Drosophila melanogaster: one gene and its partners. The protein of the gene in region 3 purifies or fractionates together with the protein of the main gene of each other region. This does not show direct contact. Each region holds a gene or a part of one and is shown on either strand. Other genes may lie near its edges.

Region 1 (6,396 bases), on a different chromosome or scaffold from region 3:
AGCTATTTCCTCGCACACTGAGTCGCTGCAATCGTGACAGCCCTGAGATCTGCGTGGGCAGCTGCAGCAATCCGTTCTCGGCCAGCAGCAGCTCCCTTATATTCGGAGTATTGGCGAACAAGGTGGCGGGTAAATACGTTAGTTTTCGATTCTGCTGCACGGAAAGGTAACGCAAACGATGAAGCACTTGCGGATCCACAAGGGACTCGTCATAGCGCGATATCCAGTTGGAGAACTGCTCTATTGGCGTCTCATCAATGCGCAGCAGCACCAGGGAGCGCTGTCTCTGAAACAGGCCACTGGGCAGCTGCTTGAACTGATTACGGCTGAGATCCAACTGCCTGAGGGCATGCAGCGACTGGAAGATGATGGATGACAGCAGGGTCAGGTTGTTGCCGGACACGTTCAGGGCGAGCAGGTGATCCAGAGACTCGAACGCCTTTCGATCGATGACGGACAGAGAATTTTGGCTAAGGTCCAACTGACGCAGCTCGCGCAGACTGTACAGACTATGCTTGCCGATGGACTTAAGCTGATTTCGCTGCAGGTGCAGCTGACGCAGCTGGCCGTTGCGGGCAAAGAAGTTGTCCGGAAACGATAGCAGGCGGTTGTCGCTGAGGTCCAGCACTTGAAGATCGGCTGCCGTTTGGAAGAGCATAAATGGCAGAACGCTCAGCCGGTTTCCGGATAGATAGAGGCGCTCAAGCTTCAGGGCTCCAACAAATATGTCTCGTGGAAGCTCAGTCAACAAATTTTGGCTGAGATTCAGCATGCGCAATTCGCTCAGCTCGCCCAGGAAGCGCTGCGGTAAGTAGGTCAGTTCGCTTCTGTCCAAGTGCAGCTCCTGCAATTGCTTCATGTACTGCAGGTTTAGCAGGCTGCAATTGCTCAGTCGATTACCGCTCATTTCAAGTACTTTCACGCGCCGCACGGCCAGCGGAATTGCCCAATGAAGGCACTCCAGGCGATTCTCGGCGAGATTGAGCCGTTCCATATACTCAAAGGAGCGCGGCTGGCGGGTGAAGAGCTCCATGAGCGTTTCATCTTTAAGTTCACTACTCTGCCAGCTGAATTCCCTCAGACTTTCAAGCTGTGGCAGCTTCAGGGGATTACTGCGATCCGCAGGTACATGGGCCAGCATCAGCTGGTTGTAATTAATGTGCGAGCTTCGCTGGGAGAGCAGTTCCTGGTTAACTCGCCTCAGGTCCACATGCTCGCAGTTAAGCTTAAAAACATTGCCCGTGGGATCGACGTGACCGACCGAAGGAAGTTCATGCTCCTCCACCTCTACGCTCTCTGATCCGGCGTCCGCCGCATCCAGCCACAGACCCTCATCACTGTCACTATCATCTAGATCCGAGTCGACGGCATGGCCCACAAACGGTAGGTGGAACTTGTAGCCCAGCAGTGAGAACTCGTGCTCCTGCCAGGTCCTTATCCTGGGCCTGATCTGTGGACGATGTTGCTGCGGGATTTGGGCCAGGTACGCCTCGGCACTGCTGTATGTGGCCAGACAGTGGGTGCTGTCACCACTGATGGCCGCTGCGGCCTTGAGCCCGACAAACAAGGCACACAATATCAAGGAAATCTTCGATATTGCTTCCATTTTTCAGTATGTAATCTCAAATATTTGTACGGTCGCATAGTACACCTGTAAGATAAGAGGGTTTTCAGAATATTATTTATTGCTAAATATATTAATTTTATATTGTGTTATAATCAACTATGTTCACTTTATATTTTTCGTACAACGGTACAAGCCATCTCGAAGTTTTTGGATGTCTGGACACTAAATTAAACCAATTCAGGTTTTTGGTCATTATTGATTTTCGCCTTTACCCTTCGGGAGCCCAAAAAATATGTGTCGCAACTCTCATTTCAGCGGGAGAAGGGAAAAGTGGGATTGGGCAACGGACAAAATCAATAAGTTAGGTAAATAACATAAATAAAACGGTGGTCTAAAGGAGGCGGAGGACGCGACGTCCAGTTGCGCGTCCAAATGGCGACGCACAGAAATGTTTGGAACCGTAAAGAGGTGGAACTTTTGTAGTATTCTTCTTTTAATAATGCATTATAATAGTGTCTGTCTGGATGTGGACAAGTTCCCACTTCTCCAACGACAGATTTCCATTCGCACGCAATGAAGATTAAGAACTTTAAGGCATGCAAGGAACTAAAAAGTTATTATAATGTAGAAGTTTTAATAGAAACACTTAACAAAAAAGTCTGTAGATTAAGCGAATACTTTAGGTGAACATGTAATTGTTTTTGATACAAATAAAGATTAAATCTAGCTATAAATTGCTCAATTATTTTATATTGCTTTAAATCTAAGGTTTTTGAGATCTTAAAGTACTCGTCAAGTTTTATTGAGATAAATGGTGAGGAAAACAAACGTAGTCCGCAACGCTGTGAATCAGCAAGTGGCCATTATAAGTTAGCATATATTTAAATTTTCCTTAATGCCGCCGATTGCATTTGTTTATAAACAGAAATATCGAATGAAATGCCGCCCAGCAACCACAACCTGCACCAACAAAGCAATTACGTACAATATATGGTATACTTCAGTTGCCAAGATTATTACTCAATGGCTTTCGGATAAAAAGACGCGAGAACTATAAAATAATTCATTGTATAATACAGCCCATGTCTCGAGTGACTGACCCCCGATGCCACGTAGAATATATTTACACATATATAGAATATGGAAGGCGTAAAGCTTTTCTATTTGTTGATATTGACAACGGTTGGTGGCCAGCTGTTGGGCCAAAGCTGATAAGAGCAATGAGCCCATAAAACTGATAAGCCGGCACTTTGCGAAAAGTGATCAAGATGGATGGTCGCAGGGGTATTCCATTTAATCTCAGTTCCCAAAGAGCTTGAATCGCTAAGTAAATATGACTGTTGATGGCGAATATTCAACACACCAGCAGAAATCTGGCCAAAACAAATGCAAACAACAAAAATAACGAAAAACCGATACAGAAATAGCCCAGCATACAGACGTAAAAAAACACGAAATACACATGCAGAAATATGGCTAAAAAAAAGTGCCACGAATCTAAGACAATAATTAAATTATGTATGTACATATGTACGTTTGCCTCGCAGAGCGAGAAAGTAGTTGCCAAATTGGTGTGGTGCTACCAATAAATTAGACTAATCAGCTGATATGCCAGTTAGCTGTATATTTTTCCATTAATTTAAATGTCAATTTCGTTAAGCCAAAGAATCGGAGCAGACCGAAAGAGACGGAGATAGAGTGGGTTGCATAATCTGTCATGGAATCCGAGCTCAAAACAACCGTTTAACTGGGTATACAGTGCGGGTACATAATGTACATGCGATACATACACACAGACACACGCACACACGCACACACTTGCAACACCTGGTGACATGTGAAAAGCCGCTAATGAGTCGGGCTGACAGTAAAACGGCCAATTAGCCGAGATTCCCTGCTGCCCCGCAAGTGGAATCGTTCACCAAATTGAAGATTTACTCGCCGCTCCGCCCACTCTCATAATTCATTCATCGCTTTTCGCCTCCTTTTTACCTTGGAAAAACTCATCTCAAGTGAGTGTGTGCGTGTGTGAGCACATATGTACATACATATGCATGTAATGTGCAAGGTGCTGCAGCTTAAGATGTTGCCAAGGGCAACGATTCGCGGCTCGGATTCGGATGTAAATCGAGAAATAACGGGAGTATCTCATTCCAGGTAATTATGAAGCCACCGAAACTTCTGGTTTCGCATTTTTTTCACCCTTTGTGCCTGAAGCAGCCGTTTCAGCTACGCACACACTCGCATCTGTCGAAAGTTTGAACTTTTCACTGGGCTACATAGAAAGAAACATCTATGTTTTTTACCCCAATAAGCTAGTCACTCAATAAATATGTCTTTTATGACATATTGTTTAATTATTATCTCACCGTTGTTTATATTATCTGCATCTTTTCGCGTCTTTTTTCGTCTGGCTTACAGTGTGGCCGTAAAAGAACCGTTGAAGTATACTCATACGCATTAGAAGGTAGTCGGAAAAGGCGTTTGAAATATACCAAAAGCCAGTGCTGTGCAATGATAAAATTTAATATATTTATATTATCGTTATTCTATAAAATGGAAAAGAATAATGAACTTATTCAACTAATATAGAGCATAAATAAAATAATTTTAAAGATTAGCTTATAACAATAGCTTAATGGCGGAGGGCCACTCTCTTCCGCCCGCTGCACAGCTGGTCACACTGAGGGTGCAATCACTTTTTTTTCGTGATAAAATTAAGGAATCTTGAGTTCATCGTTGATAAGCAGCGATCTGATAATTGCCAGCACAGCAGCTCGGATAACTATAAAAACAGACTCAGCTGGATATATAATAGAGAGCCGTAATGCCCCGCCGATCGGCTGGCCGCAGTAACCTTACGATTCTGACGCTCGCTTTGCCGTCGTGGTGTTTTGTTATTGGAGCAGAAAACATATTCCAAACGAGATTATAAATAGTCACGATGTGTGTCGCAGTTGTCGCGGTCGTTGGGAGGATGAATGTGCAATTGCAGATGCCGTAGAAGCAGCGCGCTCCAGTTTTATCCACAGAGACCCGATCTTCTAGTGCCCGTGCAAACCGGGAAAAAAACAACAACAAATTAGGTCGACATTTCGGGCACAGGTAAGCCTAATTTCAGTCGAACAAAATTACTTGTTAAGTTATAAGCTAATTATGAGTTGGCTGTTTCAATTAGGCTGCAGAGCCAATTCAAGCGGACCACGGGCCCAAAGCGGAGTCAACAAAGAAGCGGGACAGAGAGACATCGAAACATTGGTTTCAACACCACACGTTCAAAGTGAAGGTCAACGTCACAACGACTCGAGCGGCAAGTCTGGCGGCCGAAAGACAAAGCCATCCGCCGTCACCAGCACAACCTCCAACGCCACCGCCGCCGCCATCGGTAGTCTCCAGATAGCCAGCACCATGTCTACCACATCCTCCGAATCCTTTGTCCGCGGCCAGCGGCTTATGCTCATCTTCCTGGTGGCCATGTGCATCGTAGTTGCCTGCGTCCTTAGCACCGAAACCACCATGCCCACGCAGAACATGTCCAATAAGGAGCGGGCGGAACTCCGGTAAGTCTCAGCTTCTCGTTTCCTTGTATTTCCTGACCAGGGCAACTTCTGTACGTCTTATTTTTATTTATTTACCAAACTAAGAAAGTTTCAGAAACACTATTAATATTTTAATGTACTCTGGTTTTACGAGGGATCTATGCAATTTGTTTAAATGTAACCCATATATGCGTCAGAAACGACGAGGTCAAATTAGCATAACTCGTTTTTAATCATTTATGGATATACATTTAAATGTGATGCTTATAAAAACGAATTATATATCCATGACTTTCATATTAAGTCATATTAAAACGCTTAAGCTTAAAAGTTGTTCTGAACAATCACATATGTAGAAAGTAAATTCAAGTATACAATATGTTCCATTTGCTTTCAGGGAAGAGGCTCGCGATATGTTCTATCATGCATACAACGCCTACATGCAGAACGCCTATCCAGCTGATGAGCTTATGCCGCTCTCCTGCAAAGGACGGTACCGAGGAGTGACGCCATCACGTGGCGACATGGACGACATCCTTGGAAAGTGAGTTCAAAAACCTAAGGTTTGGAGGGATTACTAACATTGTTCTTATTTTTAGTTTCTCCATGACTCTGGTGGATACTCTGGACACTCTGGTGCTCCTGGGCGATTTCACAGAGTTTGATCACGCGGTGAAGCTAGTTATCCGCGACGTTCAATTCGACAGCGACATTATTGTGTCGGTGTTTGAGACGAACATTCGAATGGTCGGTGGCTTGCTGTCGGCGCACATCCTGGCGGAGTATCTGCAAAAGCATGCGGACACGATGCATTGGTACAAGGGCGAACTGCTGGAGATGTCTCGCGAGCTGGGCTACCGTTTGCTACCGGCGTTCAACACATCCACGGGCATTCCGCATGCGCGGGTTAATCTCCGCCTGGGCATGAAGGACCCGATGCTCAAGAAGTCCCGTGAAACGTGTACGGCGTGTGCTGGTACCATCCTTCTGGAATTTGCTGCTCTGTCGCGTCTCACCGGCGATCCCATTTTCGAGGTGCGAGCTCACGCCGCCATGGATGCACTGTGGAAGCTAAGGCACCGTGGCTCCGATCTCATGGGCACGGTACTTAATGTCCATTCGGGCGATTGGGTGCGTCGCGATTCTGGAGTCGGAGCTGGCATCGACAGTTACTATGAGTACCTGTTCAAGTCGTACGTCCTACTGGGTGACGACAAGTACCTGGCACGCTTTAATCGCCACTACAACGCAGTGATGAAGTACGTCAGCGAAGGACCCATGCTACTCGAC
Region 2 (6,197 bases), about 15 Mb from region 3:
AAGACTTATCAAGAGCGCACCTTGGCCCAAAACTCTACCATTGTTTCGCTGGTTAATGCTGTTGTTCAGATAGTTGTTCAGATAGTTGTTATTGTCATTGTTGCTGTTGTTGTCCACATATTGCTGCTGCTGCTGTTGCTGCTGCTGCAGTTGTTGCTGTTGCATTCGCTGCTGTCGCAAATACTGTTGATTGCAGGTAAGACCCGCTGTTGTAGTTGTTGCATTTGCCGGAGGCGAAGGCACGCCCTGTTGCAGCAGTTGCTGTTGCAGGCGGCGACGCTGCAGCAACTGCTGCTGCAACAGCTGCAACTGCTGCTGCTGCATGCGCTGATAGAAGCGTATCTGCTCCAGTTGTTGCGGACTAACGCCAATGTTGCCAGGTTTGCTGTGCTTGGCAACCCTTTGCCGCTGATGTTGCAGTTGCTGCGGCACATAGTAGTTCTCCTTGGAGGAGCTGTTGCTGTCGCAGCCGCTGCTGGTGCTGCTGCTGTTGCTGTTGCTGTTACTCGTGCCACCGGCGACATGTTGCCAGCAGGCCGTGTGGTTGCCATTGGCATCGCTGGCTTGCGGATTGCTCTGGCCGCTGTGGTGGGTGCAATCGATGCCGGCCCTGGAGCAGGCGGCACAGCGTTTGGAAATGTCTACGAATCTCATGATGAAGGCGAGCAGCAGCAACAACATCTAGTTGTTGCAGGCGTATGTTGCTGCCGATTTATTTTTGGCCAGTCCGCTGCGGACCAACGCTGCGATGTTGCCAAGATGTTCTTGGGACAGTGTCGCTGCTTCTGTATTGCTGTATTTTTAGTTATTGGCTCTTTTTTTTAAGCGGTTCAACTCCATTGATTGGTTGCACATTTTGTTTGGATTTTTCCTTTCGGTTCTTCTTTTCTATGCTGCACTTTTCATTTTGATTTCTTCGTAGTCTTTGATGGCTATTTATACATGTTGTTATGCTTGATGCGTAAGTTTTCTCTTCTCTATACGACACATGGACCAAGTTTTATATATAAAAATAACACAGATTGTTTGTGTGTATGCGCTACACTGTTCAGCCCACAAAAAGTTTTGTGTCTGTTGATATGTTTTCGGTGTGAGAAGCATATAAAAATAATTTACGAGTTTTCTGCATTCGGTTTTCGGGACTTTTATGTTATTTCTTCTATCTAAACTTTAATGCGGAGTTTCGACGAAAAACGTCTAAAATTAACCCACCAAACTAACAATGTGGCATAAACAAAAGCTGTGTTCCCACCATCGATTTATGCCCCTGCGGCTTTGGGCCAAACTCGGAATGCAATTCCTTTGGCCTTTCCTGACGCGCAAATTAACTGCATTCGTGGCTCGTTAGCAAAAGCGTTAGCAGCAAAGCCCCCAAAACCCTAAAGGTGCCTAATTTATGGCATCAAATTTCCGACACAAAAAACGGAAATGGCCATCCTTGCTAAACAGAGGGCTTTTGAAGCCGTGTAGCTTTGGCCAGGCTCGCCACAGGTGTCTAAATTTAAATCACTGGCCGAAAAGAAACTTAGCCAAGTTCATTAATATTAACTTGTCGTCCGACATTTTGGCGAGCATGTGTCATAATGTTTGCTATTGAAATCTATCTAGAGCGCACATGAGCTTGCCAAAGAAAAATATCTAGATCCACCAGGTGCTTGGCATAATGAGATTATAGGAGATATATCTGCATACTTGATGCCTGACATCAGCAAAAGATACAATATCTTTATATATTTTACAAAGGGGAAATGCAACTAAATAGCAATAGCAAAATTGCTACAAAAGTGGTAAGCCAGTAGTAATAAATGCAGGAGATATATAAAACCTCTTTTTCCTTAGTGTAAGATGACAGACAAAGGATCGCAAAATGGCCACCAACCACCGGGGAAAGCGTCGCGCACGAAAAGGAATCCCTCAGGACTGCGTTTTTCAAATATCGAGAAAGGGAAAGTCTGAGGAGTGCTCAGGCGCACCAAGGACCTGGCTCGGAAAATGCCAAACGGCTTTGCCGCATCTGGCAAGCGGCCAAAATACATAGGAACCAAACCAACATACACTCTGCCACAAGGCGGTGGTACGCACAAGTATATGTACATGGTGGAAAAGAAAAGTGCTCTCGCATCGAAGCGGCATTTAAGCAGCTCCGATAAACATGGTGGCAAGTTGTCCATGGCCACGCTCCAGCTGCCTTGTATTTGCCAAGAGCCATGAAGTTCTTGAAATCATAAACATAATGTTTTTGGTACGAACGCAAGTAAGAAGCCGACGCACTGCGAAAATATTGTGTGGAAATTGCAGATGCATTTCGATTTCGTGCACGCAACTCATTTGGATTTCTCTTTGCACCTTGCAATTTTCCGCGGCCGGGGCAAAAATAAACAGCGCATGTAGCCGATGCGAAAGTACAGTTTTTTCACCCAGTTGGAGCTGCAAGGTGTAGCCCCCCACCAGGTTCAATCACATTTTGAACTCCAACAAAAATGTTTGTTTAGGTGTTGGCATTGCGGACAAGTTAAGGGAAATGCGTGGCAAATGACACATTACATTGGCCTCTAATGTCGGCAATTGCAATCAATAAAAGTTTAATAGCAAGATTGGTTTATAAAATATTTATATAATATATTATTTGTTCAGCTACTTTCTTTTTGGTTCCTATAGATATAGTTTCAAACCCTTATGGTGTCGCATAGGCAAGCCCTTTTTTTGTAAACACAAGTATATATATTTTCCTCATTGTTCTCGAGATGGCAAGCATTTTAGTTTAGTTCAACGTACTTGTTGGCCTACATTGCGCCTAGAAAATGGCAGCGGGAAAACTCTTTTGGCGGAGTACGCCATGCCCGCCAATTAAATGAGGCAGCCCAAGAAAATGCATCTGCATTTTCCACGATGGCGATGCAGTTACAGATATAGCCGCATTGTCGATGTTGTTTCTATTTTGTGTGCCGATTGTAATTACGAAATCATCAAACGCATGTGTGCATATCGACGCGGAAGTCTTTTGGTTTTGGCAAAAAGGTCAAAGCTATTTGCAGATGCAGATACACAGTTGCTACTTTGACAGGCAAATCGAGCTTATCAACCGGTTGCTGAACGCTTTTATTTGGCTTAAACAAACACTTTTGGCATGCCCAACAAATTTTAGTTGATAAGATAAGCCTTGAAACTGGTAGCAATGCAACTGACAACCTGATAACCGATTAGATACAGACGCCGACTACAGATGATCTCATTTTCGAGTGCAGAAAACTCATAAATAATTGTTAAATGCTGGCATTACATTACCCCAAAAACGGATTGCGTATTAGATAATCCCAAAAAGTTCGTTGTCAAAGAGAACTTTGGTTCCTTTGTTCGTATCAGACATTAAAGAAAGTACACAAACACAGACACTCTCGTCTACCGACGATGCACTTAAGATGGCCAATCTAACGAGTATCTTTCAGATAATTCTGTGGGGATTGGCTCACGCACAATTAAAGCCCTTTAAGTGATTCCACTTTGATTGGGATGCTGCTGCTGCTGCGTCACACAAAGTATCTACGAGTTTATTATTCAAACCAGACGAACGGAACGACGAACCGACGACGAGGCGCGTAAACAAATTAAGCGAAATGTGAAACGAAAAATAAGAAATACATATAGATATATATATGTATGGAAAATAATCAAGGCTTTCACAAACGACACGCTCCGCACATTTTCACAGTTGCACCAGCCCAAGGAGACTGACTGAAAATGAAAATACGCGAGCGGCAACGACAATCTGAAATCCGAAAAAAAGAGGCGAAGCGACGGCTACAAAGCGACGAGGCCTCTATGTGTGTGTGTGTGCGTGTGTGTGTGAGAGAGTATCTGTGAGAGGGCACCTCCCAGTGTAAGTATCTTCGGGGTGTATCCGAGTCCGAGTGAAAAGAATGAAAAGCACCCGAAAACGCACGAAGTACCCCAACGCACGGAACATTATACAATGTGGTGCATCGCCGAGTTAACCCCAAAATAAGGAAACATGTAGCACGGACTCCAGCGAAAAGTGAAAACGAGAGCGACAACTTCATGGATACGGCTAATAGCACCATCTGTGGCGCAGCAAGTGCAACCCTTTGGATATAGAAGTTTATTATCCATGGTTTTACAAATGGTATATAATAGAGGTAAAGATAAATTCTCATTTTAGAAAAATTAAGTATGTTGCTACTACTATTAGAAATAGAATAGAATATTCCACAATAAAAATAATCGTAATCCACAGGATTAAAGATTAATAATTGATTTGATCTTCAGGTCTGATAGCAATCTCCCATTAAAGCACTGAATGCAATGCCCGTTCAAATGGCACATTATGAATAATGGAAATCTCTAGTTGAATCTTAACTAATTATACAAACAAGTAGTTAGTTCAAGTCATTGTTATTGATTAATGAGAGCGATTGTTATTAAACTTATTTGCTTTTATCAGTTTGAAATGACTTCAAATAATAATTTAGTATTTCATTGTTCACTTTTATACCAAACCATCGATCATTTTAGCTTGTCACAATTAAGATCCTCTTAGATATAAAACAATTTCGAAATTACTAAAAACTATTTGTAATATTTCCTCTTCAGCCAAATAAATCACTGCGATAAGCGCCGACCATCTGGTAAGTAAATCAACTGCAGATTTTGATTTATCTCTGCGACTAATGAAGCCGTTCAAGTGGGAAACCAAACCAAGTGCCCACTTGGTCCGGCCAAACAAACATCCCTCCTCCACAACGATGGTGGTAAATAGAGCTCGAAGAGCCTGAAGACGCCTCTTCCGGCAGGATGAAGATCCAAGTTTCCCGGCACGGCGCATGTGCACGTGCTGCAAGCAAAGCAAACACAGAACATGTGCCCCTCTTTGAAACTGAACACCGCACATAAAATTATAGCATAGAATCACAGTTCGAGGGGGGTTCAAAGTGCGGGAGCAATGCACAAGTGCTCATTAACAATTACAAACAGGCGATCATCAGTCAGTGGAGCGCACTACATTTTCCAATTTCCCAATAAAAGCATTATAAATGCGCATATGTACATTTCCCCCCATTAGATTCGAATGGTAGACAAAGGCAGGGCATGAATGAGTTGAATACATTAAGTAATCATCATCGGTATTCACAGCACAAGCACCCTGTAAATGCATATATTATATTCATATACCCCCTATCTATTATCAGCTGTTTTGGTGTACTGCTGCTGATTAAATCAACCTCAAACAGACGGGGAATGCTAAAAAAGATACATATGTATATGTACGTACATAGATATCACTTTCAATGAACAGCAATTGGCTTGTTTACATGAAGATACGAAAAAGTATATATACAAACGCAAAACTTGTCGCTTTTCTTTTTCTTTTTTTTTGGGATTTTCTGCTACTTTTATTTGTTAATTAATTATTGTCGGCTTCGAAAGATCAGCGGATGCCATATGTTTTTGGGTCTTGAAAGGGAAAAAAACAGGTCGTGATCATAATCCATAAATTAGAATACCAGACATAGCAAAAAATTATAAAATAGATCTACAGATGGCGAATGAAAGTTTAAATGGCATACTTTTAGGTGGATTTTAGAATTTCGCTCTCATATCGATTGTTCGGTTTTAGCTCTAATTGAATTTAGTTGTTTTTCCACAATTGCATGGACTATGATGACTCATCCGTTGATTTCCACAGTCAAGTATGACAAATCCATTTGCCCCCCCCCAACTGCTGATCCAATTGTGGCCCTCGCCAAATTAGCATGGAACAATCCACCCTCGAATATAGCAAACTAGTATAGTATCTACATCTTTTTATATCTTTTGTGCATAGCTTGACCTCCCGCATGAGCGTGTGTTTTAATGGTCTTGCACAAAAATAAGTTGCCAAAGTAAACAAAAGTGCAGCTTCGCTTTCCTAGCGGTGGGTCCATCACCTCCAAGACTGGATGAGCTCAGATGAAATGCGACTGAATGCGGGATGTGGCTCCCCAACACGGTGCTGCACTTTGCTCCCGGCTAAGGGTCATCATCCCATCCAATTCCATCCCAAACCCATCCCATGCTGCGCGAAAAACTCTGCGCACAACCTGAGACGCAAAAAAGAGAAATCCTTGATGAGGAAGCCATCCAGTTTAAATGCCATGAGTAAGAAGTGATAAAAATGGCCATTTTCTGCAAGTTTAAGTGTT
Region 3 (9,155 bases):
ATTATTTGGGCACTCACTCCATTAATCTGGCATGCATAATTGCGATAATGAGAGCGAGCCATTTGCCTGGGGAAAAGGGACTGCATAAAATGGCAAATTCACATAGAAATATATTTGCATATTTAAAAATATATTTTTAGCTAGTACTATACGTAACCCAAGTTTATTGGGAAGAATAAAAATAAGAATTTCGTTTTGTGTACGTTGATAGTCGGTAATAGTCGATAATCGAATCCAGTTATTTGCTTGGCTTACTTTCCTTTATCGCATTTCAAGTTCAATTATTGTGAATTCTACAATTCTCAATATCTTGGCACTGAAATTCCAGACTCTGCACGTGTGTCAGGTTAGTACTTTCTTATAAAAGTATTGCAAAGCTAAATGCACGTACGACTTTTTTCTCTTCGGGCCTTTTAGCAACTTGATGCGTTCACGTTCACAATGTTTGCTCAGCGCCAAGGCGTCGATTTCCCGAGAACAGCTGTTGGCCAGAAACTGATTAATTGGCCCCAGCAGCTCACTCTGGCTAAGAGCTAAAGAAGACAATAGTTAATTACTGGTTGCCCCTTTTAATGGGCAGCGTATGGACTTACCCATATTAACGAAGCAAAGTTGCGACGATTCCGTTTGGGAATTCACGGGGGGTGCAACAGTGGCCACGAAAATGGGTACTTTGATTGGGGCATTCAAGGAGTTGAATGTCTCAATGTAATAACTGATTTGTATAGGGTCCAGCTGATCTGAGTGACTCATAATAGGGGCTGTCAGAGGCAGGCGAAGATTGCCATTAAGTTCCGAACTCTCGGACAACACTTGTGTCACATTCTTGGTTTTGGCACTTGGTTGCTGACTAGTGTAGCTGATTTTTTTACACAAGCGCGTAAGGAAGTCCTGGACTCCATCTTTGGAACAGATTTCATAGCTTACACTTTGACCCGGAACAAAAACACTTCGCGGCAATGTAAGTCCCATGTTCGCAGTCTCCATATATTGGGGCTTGAGATCGGCGAGTTCCACACACTTTCGTATCACCAATCGCTGCTGAAAGCATTTGTTATGTGTTCCCCGTCTTTCGAGAACAACCTTGAGCACATACTCCACATTGCCGAAAGGAAGTCTACAGGTGGCTGGCAGATTTTCAGGCAGCTGAAAATTGAAGTCACCCAATCGAAAGGTACCATTCTCTAGCTGAAGTACTTCGTTTAACTTTTTCGTTTCATTTATGTGCACCTTGCTGCCGTTGTAATCCACTTTGGGGCACTCCAGGTTTCCGGTGCTATCATTGTGTTCGATTTCCGGCGGACCTCGAAGTGACTCCCGCCAGTGGACCGTCGAGACTCCGTGGAGAGTGACACTTACGCCTGCCGAATGGGGAACAACAACACGATCAGCATATCAGATTGCCCATCTATTTGCAGCACTCTCCCCTATCTAATCACTAAACCAACTCATTTGCCTAATGGCATCTTACCCTCTAATTTGAAACTTTTTTTCCCGTCGACTGTCACAGTGAGTGATCCCGAAATTTGCTCGCCGTTGTAATAAATGGCAGCGGCACGCGATAAGTTAAATTCGCAATTTATTGGCATTTTCAGTGGTTTGGAGTGGCTTTTTTATATATGTGTGCTTTTCTGAAAATTCGCATTCACGCGACTGAGACTCTAGTTGTGACCTCGCCAACGAACGGCAAACAAGTGACTGTGACAACTTGAGGTTTCATCCGAAGCCGTTGGAAGTCTGAAAAACTGTTTCCACACGAGTCGTCTGAATGAGAAATGGCTGCTGTTTTACTGCTAATTTGGCCCGAAGTCTGTTTTGGCCGCAGCGATAACAATATATAAATTTAGCTTTATGGTCCAGCTAAGCCGACTCAGATTTTTTGCTGATTATACCGTGTACAGGATGTAAATGTGTCTACAGCTTTTGTGGTATACGTAATATATTTTGCTTGTTTTGCTTTATTGAATCGGATTAAATCGAATTGAAGACAGTTAAGACTTAGAAATAGACTTATATGATTTTTGGTTAGACTGGCGCTTAAATAAGAGGAAGTACAAAGTATATAGTGAGACAACACAATCTAATTTGTATAGAAACTAGAGCAAGAGACACTTGTATATATATAATTAGTTCGACAATATCTCATTTAGACACCTAAAGATTATGATGATGTGATGATTTTAAATAATAAAAAACTAAACACAATTTGGCTAATCTTTGCTTGTAAATTTCTCATAGATACACAGAAAAAGTCAATACAATATTCAATATTGGAAAATGTTAGTTTCGCGCTTAATTTCCCCTCTCCGTTTGGTAAAATTGTGCAGATTTTGTTAAAATTACGAGCTAAATGATTTCATCTAACTTCTCACTACATTGTTCACATACATTTAGCCAGCGACCACTGTATCAAGTATCAATCTGCTTACAATTAGCAATACTTAAAAAATAATTGTATAAGGTTAGTTAAAAAGGGGAAAACGAGAATGAGAAGAGAGAAAATTTAAATGTAAATATAGGGACTATAGAAGAAAGGGAGGATAAAATAGTTAAATAAATCAAATTCATTTTGGCCTAAATAGCTTTCTTCTCCAAAATATATCCCATTCTGCTTTGGCTCTATAAAAAATGGCTCGATTTGCCACCTTCAATTTAAATTGCGCCCAGACTTAAGTTCTACTACATGTTAGCACACTGGGTTTCATTTTCCATTCTATAGTATTTTGATTTCGATTAAATATGTAAGTGTTATCGCTTATTGGCTTATTGGTTTACATTTGATGCAGCTCTTTCCGTATCGCTTAGTCCAAAGACATCTCATTTCTTTTCGCAAGAAGGGGGCTCTCCTCCTCTTGTGTTCGGGGCCAAATCCTCATCCGTTTCCGGTGCCGCCGAGTCCTGGCAGCTGAGTGTAAGACGCAGCCGGGAACTGGACTCATCGTAGAGCGTCTCTACGGTTTTCGGGTTTCGAAGGAAAGGGGATCGTGAATGGACGGTACAAAATGTAGCATGTTTCGGGGCGGTAACAAGAGAATAAATTTACAAGTTAAGCACATTTTGAAATTATTTCTGCTCGGATTAACAGAGAAATGCATATTAGGAAAGTAGAAAAAGTTAAGATAAGCTTTAAAAATCTATAAAACGTTCTTAATTGGTATTCGATAAATGTTTTTGACTTAAACATTAAAAGACGCCATAATAAAGAAGAAGAAAACGGCTCGATATAATTTAATATTAATAATGATTTTGGTTCAGGCGCATACATGTTCATCGTTTTAGATACAATAAAAAACAAATATATGTTTTTATGGAAGGTAATGTATAAAATATATATATTAAGAATCAAAAACAATTTTTATTAATTTAAGTTGGTAAAAATATCTTGTATACTTATATATATAAAAGGGTAATGGAATAAAACGTGCAATTATTTTAGATACACAATTTTATATAATAGGAATAAAGTGTAATGTATTAAAATGATATTGACAACTAAGTAATGAGATTCATTTTAAATGAGATAGGCTTAACAGACACTCGGATCAAGGACAACAATAAACTTTACGACTCCAACGTTTTTTTCTTTGGATTTCAAAATCCTTTCTATCAGACAAGTACAAATTGTAGTGTTTAAATTGCATTTTTTGGTTTTAGGCGGACAAAGTTGAATGAATTGTATCTCTGCGCACTTGATCTCATTACTTGAACATATTAAAGTACATTTATGAAAATGCTCTAACTACTATTAGGAAAAGGAATAAAAAAGAACACAGAAAAAGCCACTCAGCCATTCAATTGATTGGATCATTTTTCATTTGTAGCTTTCGCTTTTTTGGTAAACAATTTTTGGTTTTTTGTTTTGATGGGTGGTTTATGTGTCGGATTCATTGGAATCATCACTACCGGGCGGTATGGTCGGTGTCTCATAATCGTAATAGACCGGATAACGCGGCTTAAAGGGCTCACTTGTGGTAACATCAGCCTGAGCGGACAAAATGCTGCTCATGCTAACGTTGGTCAAGAACTCAGTGTCATCGCTGAACTTCTCACTTAGAGCCATGGCGTCTTCATATGATGGCGGCACTGAAAGAAACGAGTTTTAATAGAGCCTATTTTATTGCACAACAATATACATAAATATAGTACTATATTGATGTATTTAAATACAAAAGTTTCTGAGCATTCAATTATTCCATTTGGGTGGGCAAACTGAATAATTCTTACTCATGGGTATATAGTCCGGCGGATTATCGCTATCACTGGTCACCAAAATCGCTGGCATGGCCGTTGGCCTGAGGGCGGCAGTTGTTGGCGTTGATGAGGGCGTGGAGCTTGTGGGCGTGGGACTGACATTCGTTATCATATTCATATTGCTATTGGTCGGCAGTAGTCCGCCCACAAGGCGTCCATGATTGTTGTTGTTGTTGTTGATGCTGCTGATACGTCGCTGCTGAACTGAGGCACTTATCCGGTCCCGATCTCGATCTCGATCTCTTTCGCGATCCACATTCATATCACGATCACGATCCCGATCCCTTTGACGCTGCTGCGTCGACATTTGTAAATTTTGACTAACTACTTGGTGCTGTTGCTGCTGGCGATTGAAACGCAACAGGGCCTCCGGACCATCCATGATCGGTATACTGCCGATGGTCAGCGGAATCTTCAGCTTAAGTTTCCAGTGAAACTCCGTGGGGTTCACGATGATCTTAATCGAATAGTTAACGCTAATGGGGCACGTGGGCTTCACCGAAGTGGGCGGTATCGACGGCAGGTCGAGATACCCACGGTACACCTTTCTCGACCATCTCAGCACGTTTCCGAACTGCTTCCGCGCAATCAGGTGCTTGTCGTAGCGGTACTCATGCTGCGGATCGTGCGACTCGTAGCTCACCTCCTGCTTCAGCTTGACCTCGCATTCGATTATGTCGATCGAGGACTCGTTGTTGATGTACAGCACGAAGTGGATCTTCTGGCCGGGCGCATATCCGCAGTAAGGCGTCGAGAACTTCACCGTCAGCGGGCCTGTGGGGCAGCAGAAGCTCCAGAACCGTTTCCGATCGAGGATCTCCAGAGGAACCTGGAAAACCCCAGTGGATTAGTTATACTTTAGAACAATCATGATAGTAAGAAAAACTCTATTAGCTCATTATTATTAAACCACTGTGCCTAACTAATTTCTTAAGTTCTCTCTATGTAGACTTTTAAGTTGAAAATGGTTAGCAAACTACAAATTATACTAACATTTTATTGTAGATCACCCTACTACGTCGAATAAACACATACCCTGTAAATTGCATCTGCGTTCAGGTCCAGCGGTTGTATTACGGTAAATGGCAGCTTAAAGACCTTCGGGTGGCGAGCGGCCCTTTCGATCGTTGTTATGATCTCGTAGTGGATCTGGCCATACTTGCCGTCGAAGGACGTAGGCAGATTGTCGGGCAGAATCACGTGGAAGGTGTACGAGTACTCGCCGGCCGGCCAGTCGATGCTCGAGTTGTTCGCGCAGGATCCGAGGACGTAGGACCGCGAGGACAGATACGATCGGTAGGCACGGCACATGGCGCGCTCGCTGTCGCGCGGATATCCCTTTTTTATCCAGCGTATCTTGGCATAGCCGCTGACGGTGACGTGGATGCCTGCAAGGATGCCCCACCCGCTGTGAATAAGAATTGCCAAATTGAATTGCAAGTGGAGACCGCTGAGCAGCGACTCATCGAATTTACAGGCGGCCTACTTAAAGTAGGGATATATGGCAATGTGAATAATCTAAATCTATAAATGAATCTTTTTTGTCAAAAAATTTGGGTGTAACAAGACGGAAATTTATAAAATAGACTTGCTTAAATTAAATGCAGTAGGTATGGCCTTTGCTTAGAATAAATGTATTATAAAGTTGTACAATGCCTATATATTTAAATGATAGTTTAAAAAGAGTACAAAATATTCAAAGTTAGTCTAAACTCAAAAGTCTGAGCGACTATTTTGCGAGTGTAAACGAATTTCCACAAAAGGGAAAGCTAACAAATAACCACGCCTTTAACGAGTTCATGGATAACTGAAAATGGCGGCATGCCAAGAGCAGCACAACAACTGCAGGATATTCCACAGTGACAGTCACAACAGCCACATATTTTTGGGGGCAGGGCGCCAAGAGCAACGATTAATAGTGGAGCACGTTCGAATCGGCGTCCGGGGGGAGATACATTTTAATATTGCCATTAGCTCGTGGCCTTCGTGCATTTAAATGCACCGAGTCGCCACACCGCACCGAAATGCCAAGTGACCGCATCACTCATACGCCCCGTGAGTCATGGACACCGTTTTCGTAGTATACGTTAGGGGGCTCACCTTTAATGCGCTTCGTGGCGTCGACGCTGAGATCAACAACGCCGGATAGCTCCTGTCCGGCATAGTAGACACCTTGTGGATTATTATCAAATGATATAAGGCACTCAATGGGCATATATTGCTATATAGTTGTCGTTTGTGTTTGTGCGTCCGCTTGTTCCCCCGCCCGTCTGTCCGTCTGTCCGTCCGACCGTTCGTCCGTCTGTGTTAGTGGTGTCTTTGTGTATGTGTGTGAGTTTGTTACTGTGGCCTGTGCAAAAATCAGACCACAGATGTATAAATATCACTTTTCCCCTGCTGGCTGGAGAGTATGAATTGAAGAAATTGGGAAATGGGCTGTTTCGTTCATTTGCTATATGTCATCATGCCATTTGCTCTTTGCCTTTGTCGCCTTTGTGGCACTCGCACTGCATTTTCTCGGCACCGAGCGGCCTACACACATGCACACGAAGAATTTGTGAACGCTTTCCACGAGCCACCGACCGTCCGACCTCAAAATTCCTTCCGCCGTAACCTACTTTTCTCTGCACGCACTCAACCGACGGGGCAATCACTTATGGAAATTGGTAACTATTCGCAGCATTAACACAGCCGTGGCATATTAATTATATTTGGTGTTTTCATGTGGCCCCCTGATTGTCAGTCTGTCTGTCCGCTCGTCCGCCTGTCGCAACGATTTCTGGTTTGAGCTTCCTTTTTTTAGCTTTTCGGTTTCTTTCGATTCGATTCGATTTAACTCGCTCGCAGCTCACGGCTAACACGTCCAGCAGCCGTTCGTGTTGGATTTACTCTATCCGCATGTCATCATGTCGCAAGGGTACAAGCCCAGAGCCGAGCGTATGATATACGTACTCGGGTCGCTCGGGAGATCCGACAGGACCTGCGGCTCACCAAAACAACAACCCCCTCCTGAGAAAGCCACCGAGCTGAGAGTCACGCACACGTGCTGCCGCTGTCTGTTTTTGTATACATTTTTCGCAATGCCAGGGTTGACAAGACTTCGAATCGAATAGTATTTTTTGAGCTTGGCGTTTAGGCAATTTTATAGGCGTTTCAAAAATGCAAGCCACAAGGAACAGAATTCCGGCAAGAAACACAACTTCTTAAAGTTGTATATTTATATTTATATTTATTATAAGTTGTGCATATATTTAAAATCTCTTTAAGACTCGCAAGGTAACCTATGCGACACCTATGGACAAAATACTAGTTTCTGGGCGACACCTAACGATAAAATTCATATTCCCAAGCGCACCATCTATTGTCAAATTACTATTTCCCCAGTGGTGCCATCTAGCAACAAAACAGTTCATCGCCACCTATTGAGGATTTCATAAAATGCCACGTGGCGACACCTGGTGCTAAATCCAAAAGTACCACAACACTAGCGCCATCTAGCTCTGTTAACCAGCTTCCAGATAACATACTATTAACATTGCTACTTGCGCACGGAGTAACCGTGTTTGTATACCCAAAAAATACCGTTAAAAAGCGGTTTTAATCACACAAGGTGGGACTGGCTACACTAAGCGCAAACAAGTCTTGCATTTTGCAATAAATTCTCTAACCGGTTTTGTTATTGTTTTGGTGCTCAAGTACCGCAGAAAAGCTCATATCTGACCTTGAATAAGTACGTGTAAATCTTATCTGCGAAATCGGCAATAATCAGTAGGTAAACCCCACAAAAACAGTGAAGTTGCTGCAAACAATTCGAAGGATGAGCCAAGGTGCCTCGGAGGTGCCACTTTCGGGTAAGTAACATTAATAACCTAATATTATGTTGTAATAAATGGCCTGCTGGTAACTCTGTGGAACTAGCACTTCGTCTGAAGTACTGTGAGCGCAAGGACGCCTTCCTGGAGGATAACATCAAGGTGAAGAATCCCTTCTGTGTATTCCGAGACTGGCTGGAGTTGGCGCTGAAAACCCCGGAGATCTTGGAGCCCAATGCCGCCGCCCTGGCTACCGTGAGTGCGGAGGGTAGGCCTTCCAATCGCTATGTGCTGGTTAAAGAAGCCACCGCCGAGGGATTCACCTTCTTCACGAACTACGGTAGCCGCAAGGCTGAGGACATCAAGTCCAATCCCTATGTAGCCATATCCTTCTACTGGCTCCCTTTGCGGCGAAGTGTCCGCATCGAGGGCGTGGCTGAGAAGATCTCGGTGGAAGACTCCCTCAAGTACTTCCACCAGCGACCAAGAGCCAGCCAAATCGGAGCCGCTGCCAGTCCGCAGAGCCAGCGGATTCCGTCGCGCAGCTACTTGGACGACGTGGAGGCGGCAATTAAGCTAGAACTGGGTCCCGATGGCGAGGTGCCGCTGCCCAACTGGGGTGGCTACTTGGTGCGTCCCGACCTCATTGAGTTCTGGCAGGGTCAGACCGATCGGCTCCACGATCGCATCCGCTTTAGACGAGGTGGAGGAGTAGAATCCGAAGTCGACAGCAAACTGGTTCACAAAGGAGAGGATGGTTGGGTGTACGAACGGCTGGCTCCTTAGGCACTGGGTTCTGGAGTTCAGCTACAGATGCATTGAAAATGTCTTCCAAATTAAGTTGTTATGCGCAGGATAATAGAGGAACGTTTAAAGCTGCTTCAAAATAAATGTTAAGACATAACCAACAACTATGTACATCTGTACAAGCTTAACTACCAAATACAAATTTAAGATTGCCTTTAAATATTGTCATAAGGTGTAAGTGAAATTACAATTCCTTTTTAAATTTGAAAGTACACTAGCTAAGATCACATCCTAAAATATGGCTTATAGCCCTTAAAAAAGTTGGACAAGTAGCCTAAGCATTTT
Region 4 (8,388 bases), on a different chromosome or scaffold from region 3:
TGAATAATTTTTGGAATGATACATAGTGTGCGAAGATTGCTCGGCTATCAGAAACAACAGTGCAGTTTTGCAGTTTCCATGGACTTTATTCTTGCCCATGGTACACTTGGAATAATAACGACTGCCCAGGCTACCTCGATTCGTATGTTTATTATAAATATAATTATGTCGTAGGCCAACGGTTTCGTTTTCCAGGCTAAAGACGAAAATGTTCGAAAATAATATTATTGACTTTGTTCGATGTTCTTCAATTTAATTTAATTTTTAAATGGTGTTAAAAATAATTAATTTCCTTTTATCTTTCAAATTTTATAAAGTCGATTTCTCTGAAACCAGGCTCTTTGATGTGATACTTACCGCGCTCTGCTTTCGAAACATCAACTACTTTGTCTCAGTTCGTTGACTTGCTTCGTTACAAACGTCTCGATCTTTTCGCTAAAAGATCTAGCTGACTTTTAGTTCTCCCGCGCTCTAGGTCCAAGGACCTCTATTTCACCAAAGACACTATGATAATTTTAGTAATTTATAAATTAACTAAACAAAATAATTTTAGTTTGGTATTATTCTAGTGTTGCTTTACCGTAAGTTGGCTATATTTAGACCAGGTATTCGGATACTTCATTTTTATAACAATTGCAAATATAGTGGTAAAACACGAAAAAATTAACAAAATATTTTTGCGGTTATACATAAATTTTTCAATGCAGAAATAATTTCTCAGAAATAATAAAATATTATATAAATATCAATATGAAGAATATGAATAAGCTTTAGAGTATTACTTATTGCCGTTTTATCAAGGGCTAAATAACACATCTAAATAAATAGTGCAATAGGAAAAGGAAAGTTTTATATTATATATTAAGGTTTAAAGCTAGGGCATAATCTATTAGACTAAAATTTACATTGTGTTCTGATCACTACCCACTTATTGCCATATATGTTGCAGGAAAGGTCTTCCGTTGATGTTTTTCGCCAGAATGCTATGGTACTTCCAATGAAGCTGAGTTTTTGTCAAGGGATCTACACGTTTGTCGACCTTGTGAAAGACAAAAGCCAGTTCTGACTGGATTAAAAGTTTGCATTTGTTTGTGCTCTACTAGTATGCCTGGCATACAGTTCTGTACAGTTCAAGTCTTCAAGTCGTTATGATATAGGACCACCTCTGTCGAAGGGAATAAATTAAGATCGTACTTGTCAATACTCCAACTAATTTTATTGAGTAAATCTAACAGTACTTAAGAGTAAGAGTTAAGATTCACATAATATGCTTATGCCAACAGAATTGTGTAAGACAACAAATTTTGGGTAAGTGGTAATGCTATATAGCCAACTGGACAGAACATGTTTATGCCAGTAAGTCGTTCACGACCTGAAAAACGATAGTCCGTGTTGGACTAACACTTTTACCTGAAAAATAACATTCTCCTGGCCGTTGAAGTGTTAAATAAGTAATTAAAGAAGATTGAATTTTAAATTTAAAACAGCAGAAATTCTTGATTTGTTTTTTAGTAGCCGGCTTACTAACTATACGCGTGACTCGTATAGAGAGAGTATACTAGATTCGTTGTAAAGTAACAGTGACATTCATACGTGCTAGAAACTAACTTGTGAGTTTTAAAGCAACACAAAAATTTGGACCAGCAAGAAATATGTCGTTCTATACGCAGGGAACTCTTAGTAGAAACTTATCAGCTAATTCAATGTAGTTATAAACCGCTTGCAAGATCCCTTTCTTATAAAAAGCATAGAGTATAATAAAATTCTGATTGTCTTAATTCGAATGTAGAGCCTTTTTCCTGTCTTTGAGCTGGCCCACCAATCCGAGAAATATTTTTTCCAATATATGTGTGGTGTGTATCTCATACTGTTTTGTTTTCAGACATGTATATATATATAACGCTAAAGTAAGATTAAAAACGAAAGGCGGGTAACAACGAAGACGAAAGAAGAATTCAGGAAGATGATGATCAACTGAGATGAGTTGAGTTAGAAAATGTTTTTTATTATATTATTTTTATTTATATTATCCAAAAATCTGCAGTAGCAATTATGTTGCGTCACGGCCCTTGAACGACGTGCAGAACACAGCCAGCCTTATGAGAAAAGTTTAAGCACTTGGATTGCAGTCGTTAAAAATTCTTGCTGTCAAACAATTAAAAAACTGTGACCTTATGTTACCCTTGCTGGCCATGTTTGTTTTAAATAGGCTTCTGTGTCACAATTATTTCTAACGCATGGCGCTCACTCGCTAGCAAAACAATCTAATGCAAAATTCGAATAACAAAACAAGAGAGAATGCTATATATTTCCCTTATATGACCGGAAAACTATGTACCTGTTACATATGTTTCAACGACTCTAGTATACCTTTCTACTCTACAAGTAACGGGTATAATTACATATGTATATGTACATATGTACATACATACATATGTATTACGTATTCCGTAAACAAATATGCACATTACAATATAAGGCGTTGATAGGCGAGGCAGATACATATATTTGTATTGATACCTGTATATTATGGCCTACATAGAAAACATTTTTGAGCTTTAAACACCAACTAAACTTTGAGTTTCTTTATTTTCTTTTTTTTTTAGAGCGGAGAGACTTTTGAACCCGACTTAAGCGGTGGGTCACGGCCATGCGATCACCTGATTTAATATGGAAGATGACTTATTAAAAAAAATTAAACAATAAAACTGGGCTAAGCACTTCTAGAGAGATGATGTGTATCCGGCTTAATGTGAAAATAAATGAGTGGTTGTGCAAATACGTCCTAACATTTGCGGGTTAGAGTCAGTACCCCACTCATGTAATACTGCGGGATCATTAAATATTCGGGCAGGGTGCGTTTACAAAAGGAGGTTGACGACGATGCCTGTGCTTGTGTGGATGCTGCTACTGTTGCCTGACGCACGATGTGACCAACCTTTCCTGAAAAAAATAGAATGTTATTTTGTAAAAAAAAATAACAATTTAATACAATTTGAAATGACTTGTATTCTGCGTTAACCTTACAAAAATTGTTACGCCCACTGGCTAAGTAACGGAAATCTGAAATTTGAATAAATCGACTATAAGATTCTCTCGTCATTAATTGACTTCCCTAAAGTTCTTAGGGTAGCAATTATGTAGTCTCACGGACTAGCCTAATTAAGGTCAAATTGCTTCCCTCTTGCGTATATTGGCAAAATTTCATTAGTTTACAATTAAAGAAAAGAACTTGTTTAGTGTCTCTGTGTCAGGGGTAACAATACTTACTAATCCATATATATATATTTGTATATCTATCGATATTCCAGAAAAATTATGAAATTTCGCGATCGCATTTCTACTAGCTGAGTAACGGGTATCTTAAAATCGGCGAAGCCGACTATAGCGTTCTATTTTATGATTAGAAAACATTTTTCTTACTGAATATGTAAATATGTAATATATCAATACCGAGTAAAACTTTTATATACAAACTATGAAAAAACAACTCTATAGAACATCTTACCCATCACGTTTGCGCAATGAAAGCGGTCATCTAGTTGCTGAAGGAGGGAAAGATCTCGACAACGTGCCCAGGCATTAAGTATGTCCCTTACATTTATAGGCACCCATTCAGTTTTGTCTGCAGCTTTCTGTTTGAAAAATGTGTTGCATTAGTTTAAAAAAGTGTGTACAATATGTATTTGATTTTACCCCCTTAAATTGTACAATAAGCTGTTGGTGGGTCGCCATCTCGATCAACCGTTTGAGCTTGCGATGGTTTCCCTGCTGCTTTGAGGCCTGTATTAATAGCTGCTTGAGATTGACACTACTTTCCGTCCGTCGCCGCTTGGCCAATTGCTTGAAATAGCCATGAAGTAGCTCCCTGTCATAGGGTACGCGCAGTTTATCTAGCGCTTGCACTAGGTGCTCCTCGTCGCACGTCTTTCCTGTAGACAGACTTGCCACCAGTGGCTCAGTCAGATAGCCTTGATTGAGGAGCTATTCGCGAGAGCGGGTAAATTCATTATACACAATTATTATAGCATGCGTTTACATACCTGTAGACCGTTGAAACTATTATCACACGAAATAAACCTTTGGTTGCAGGGTGGACCCAAATTGGAACCAGAAACAATTCCGGTTGCTATTAAGCTGTGCCAGCCGGCGAACGGACCTCCATAGCAGTATACTGGGGACCCGCTTCGACAGCGAACCTGGTCCGACCGTGAGTAAAGCGAAATACTACTGCCCCGACTGCCAGCTGATCTACGACACTTAGGACATGTTCCCGGGTCTACGACTTTGCCTATGGTATTGGCCAAGAACTCCTTTTCTAGGCAGTCTAAGCAGTTCTCCTCGGTTATTCCCAAGTCAAATTGGCCCGTGCACGAAGAAGACGTGGTCAAAGCCCCAACAGTCGCAGGAGCCACCAGTATAGGAGGCACTTGATCTTGCTTTGACTTCGACCCTGACTGTTGCTGCTGACATGTTGTTGCCCGGAAATCAGTGCAGCTGTAGCAACGTTCATCAAAGCTAGCTGATGTATGAGAGCGCCGCGACTTATATGAGGAGCTTTTAGTCATCACAGACGAGGTGTGCAAAAAACGCTTTGGCTTAGCACCAGTCAGCTTAGGCTCTGGGTGTTCGCTGGGGACACTAGTGCTGCGCGAAAAATTTGAGCCTGTGTGCAATGTGTTGGGCAAGGAATGAGCCTGATAAGACTTCACTGACCGAAAGCTTCCGGAGGATTCAGCCTGCTTTTCCGAGCCAATAACTATTAGCTCATTTAAATCTATGTCCACGCCACTTCCACCAGCACCAACGTCTTTGATTTTATCTAAATTCAAGCTGATGCGCGCGAACTTCTTACTAAGGCGTAGCTTTTGCTGCTGCATTAGGTCCTCCTGCGGAAAATCATCTATGGGCGAGCTGTGCAGCTTTCCTTCCTGCGTAGAAGTAGTTCCGCCTATGCTGTTCATTTGGCTATAGTCGCGTTGCATTAACAACAAATTGGCCTGAGGCTGGATGGTCATATCGGTGGTTCCGCCAACAAGCTCCAACTCTGATGAGGGGTCTGGCTCAAAGTCCATTTCAAGAAACTCCGTCTCATCTTCGCCGTAAATGAGGCTATCGCCTCCCATAGCATTCACTGGTCCTCGGCCAAGGTCGAAGTGTTGCCCGCCAACCCTTCCCGTGGCGATGATATCCATGTTCATGTCAAAATCAGCCCCTTCACCACGGTAAGCGTAGACGCAGTCGTCGGAGTTGATAGATATCTCCTCCGCGTTCATGTCGTTGTCGTCCAGCAAAATTATATCGTCGCCGTAAATATTGTCACTGGCATAGCTCAGGTTTTCGGTTGAGTTGTTTATGGAAGTTCGGCTGGAATTATAGCCACAGGCGGCGGCTTCAAAGGATGAGAGGGCAGCTGCTGCTAGCCCGTAGCTTGCCACGTCCAGATCCAGTTCGCAGTAAGAAGGACTTTCCACCTTTTTAAAGGATAAACAGAACATAACATAATCAACATAATTTTTTGTGCTTAAAGCGGCAGTCACTTGCCTTATCACCATCCTCTGCGGCCATGGTCGCTGCAGGGCACTCCTCTGCCTTTGCCCCGCCACCACCCACGGCTCCCACGACCTGCTCGTCCACCGCTACGGCCTGCGCTGATGTTGTTGCTGCTCGTTTTTGATTTGTGCCCATTGTATTTACACCGGTCCCACAATTGACTTGGCTGACTAAGAGCTCCGGGCGTCGCTCTTCAGCCGCATCAGGACCGAGGTGTCGGTTCGCACTATAATTAACGATATTGTTATTGTTACTCAGATGCAAACGCCAGTTTAATTTATCTAGCTCTCGAAAATCCATTCCATTTGCGGCCTGGGCAGTGTTACCAGATGGCATAACGGTAAAAAAAAACCGTCGACAGCCTCTTAAAATAATTAATGCCAAAACAATTATGCGACCTATTCACACAGCCCAATTGATGCGTGAACGTTAACAATTTCAATGATAAAATGCAAGGCAACTAATTTAAAGCTAATTGTTTCAGTAAAAAGATTATGCGGATTCTTTATTCTTGTATAATAAGTTTTCGCTGCAACGGAAGAGGATAAAAAGGCATATATATGATATATTTAGCAAATTAGATATAAAGTAGATAAAGATATAATAGCATTGTAGATCAATATAGCTGTAGCTTATGCTTACTATTTAAGTTAGTCTAGTATTGTAAACTATTCTACCTATCATAATAAATAAATAAATAAATAATTATATATGATATATATACCAGGTGAGCTAAATTTACGACAAATAGTATTCACCAGTTTTGATCTCTTTCAATTTATTGCTTTTCTGGACTCCTCTGACAATAGGCGTATTTAACAGCTAATACAAAAGAATTTCCACATATATCAGATACCCTTTCAATATATTGAATGAAATGGCAAAGATATGGTAAAATAATTTTTTGATCATTTAAGTTAGGCTTCCTATCGTATTTTAGTTAGGTTTAGTATCGATAGAAATGAGCAAAACGAATAATCGATTGTATCCTTCGGCTAAGCAGCAATATGGTCAATAGGTGTATTCCATTTCACATATGTTGCCACTGTGCCACAACCTTTTGAAATTAGTAAATGTCTTCTCGTTTTGCATATTCATTCTTTTCGATATATCCTAAATGCGTCCCTACATTACAAAATATTTATACCTGGAATTAAAGGCAGTCATCGGGATCACAGCATAAAGGTTCCCAAAATATTTTTTGGAGTCTATTAGAGCACCCAGAACCCAGAGTAAGGTGATTTTTGTTGGATGAGAACTAAGAATGTGCCGAACTTCTTGTGATGTGGGGTCATCGTGATTCTAGTTGCATGTAGCGGAAAGGGAGGAGAGGCTGCCAGCATATAACAGATTTTCCAGCCTTTTTGGAGGCGAATTGGCATGCTTTGAGAATAGCGAAAGCTTCGGCCGTGAATATGGAAAGCTCAAAGAAGTTGGGGTCGGAAAAATCGAATTTTGAAATTTGAAAGCTGGAATCGTTTGCCCATTTTTGCCCACCAATTAGTTTTTTTTGCCCACGTCCAGTTTTTGAGATATAAATTTTCGAAAAAGTTCGAAAATTTTCGAAAATCAAAAATTTCCCTTTTTTCAATTTTTTTTTTTAAATCGCAATAATATCGTTTGCCCACGTTTGCCCACCCTTTAGAATTTTGAAAAAATTTATACTTTATAAAATATAAGGCTTTTAAGTTTACCTCGGTCTAATCAGAGAGTAAATCGTTTGCCCATCTCTTAAAACCAGATATTATCAACAAAAAACTTTTGCCCGCCCAACCATTATTATCAGTTTTTATCGTTTGCCTACCCTTTAAAAAACCCTTTTTTTTCGATTGCCCACATTTAAAATACAACCAATTTCGTTAGCCCACCTCTTTAAAATAAAAATTTCCAATAAAAAACGTTTGCCCACCATTTAAAAATAAATAATTTCGATTGCCCACCTTTTAAAACTAAATAATTTCGTTTGCCAATCCTTTAAAATTCATTTTTAACGTTTGCCCACCCTTTAAAAATAAATTATTTCGTTTGCCCACTATTAAAACTAAATAATTTCGATTGTCCACCTTTTAAAACTAAATAATTTCGTTTGCCCATCCTTTAAAATTCATTTTTAACGTTTGCCCACCCTTTAAAAATAAATTATTTCGTTTGCCCACCCTTTAAAATATGTTTTTTTCGTTTGCCCACCTCTTAAAAATGGTTTTTTCGATTTTTCACCTATTAAAACTAAATTTGTACATATGTATGTAATAATTGTAAGATGTGGCGCCAATTCACATATTTTAGGATCGGCGGATAGAAGCACTTACTTATATGATGATGATGAACATACATACAATCATATAGACATAATATGTACATAAAAATATATATGCAAAAAAATTTATGTATGTTTATCAACACTCTCCAAGCTCAAGAAAATTCTGGAATAAAATATTTTCCATGAAATGATTCAATGATTAAGAAAAATTGATTTTACAATTCATGAATGATTAACACTATGGAAATATTGAAAATGTATGTAAATATGTAAATAACTGTTCTTTTGTAACTGTGCTTTTGGCGCCACATCTTACAATTATTACATACATATGTACAAATTTAGTTTTAATAGGTGAAAAATCGAAAAAATAATTTTTAAGAGGTGGGCAAACGAAAAAAACAAATTTTAAAGGGTGGGCAAACGAAATAATTTATTTTTAAAGGGTGGGCAAACGTTAAAAATGAATTTTAAAGGATGGGCAAACGAAATTATTTAGTTTTAAAAGGTGGGCAATCGAAATTATTTATTTTTAAATGGTGGGCAAACGTTTTTTATTGGAAATTTTTATTTTA

What was found.
Region 1: the proteins of CG2993 (region 3) and CG16974 purify together in Drosophila melanogaster (affinity purification with mass spectrometry, with the first as the bait; one large-scale study listed by BioGRID). This does not show direct contact.
Region 2: the proteins of CG2993 (region 3) and CG7029 purify together in Drosophila melanogaster (affinity purification with mass spectrometry, with the first as the bait; one large-scale study listed by BioGRID). This does not show direct contact.
Region 4: the proteins of CG2993 (region 3) and CG3651 purify together in Drosophila melanogaster (affinity purification with mass spectrometry, with the first as the bait; one large-scale study listed by BioGRID). This does not show direct contact.

What each region holds. Positions count from the first base shown.
Region 1 is NT_033779.5:13,187,968-13,194,363, forward strand, and holds the start of CG16974 (uncharacterized protein), read right to left. Parts: upstream 4,013-6,396; 5' UTR 3,937-4,012; intron 1,790-3,936; 5' UTR 1,725-1,789; intron 1,652-1,724; 5' UTR 1,607-1,651; coding exon 1-1,606. Other genes in the region: Edem2 (ER degradation enhancer, mannosidase alpha-like 2), read left to right, coding at 4,976-5,127, 5,504-5,650, 5,706-6,396.
Region 2 is NT_033777.3:22,779,247-22,785,443, reverse strand, and holds the start of CG7029 (uncharacterized protein), read right to left. Parts: upstream 3,717-6,197; 5' UTR 3,286-3,716; intron 978-3,285; 5' UTR 682-977; coding exon 21-681; intron 1-20.
Region 3 is NT_033777.3:7,802,688-7,811,842, forward strand, and holds CG2993 (uncharacterized protein), read right to left. Parts: upstream 7,328-9,155; 5' UTR 6,467-7,327; coding exon 6,352-6,466; intron 5,640-6,351; coding exon 5,287-5,639; intron 5,081-5,286; coding exon 4,225-5,080; intron 4,084-4,224; coding exon 3,904-4,083; coding exon of another isoform or gene 3,872-3,903; exon of another isoform or gene 3,308-3,871; intron 2,952-3,307; coding exon 2,818-2,951; 3' UTR 1,978-2,817; downstream 1-1,977. Other genes in the region: CG18268 (uncharacterized protein), read right to left, coding at 343-533, 594-1,361, 1,472-1,589; sgll (sugarlethal), read left to right, coding at 7,981-7,981, 8,043-8,102, 8,170-8,849.
Region 4 is NT_033779.5:22,119,337-22,127,724, reverse strand, and holds CG3651 (uncharacterized protein), read right to left. Parts: upstream 5,886-8,388; 5' UTR 5,854-5,885; coding exon 5,545-5,853; intron 5,475-5,544; coding exon 4,044-5,474; intron 3,985-4,043; coding exon 3,697-3,984; intron 3,636-3,696; coding exon 3,509-3,635; intron 3,441-3,508; exon of another isoform or gene 2,944-3,440; coding exon 2,786-2,943; 3' UTR 1,111-2,785; downstream 1-1,110.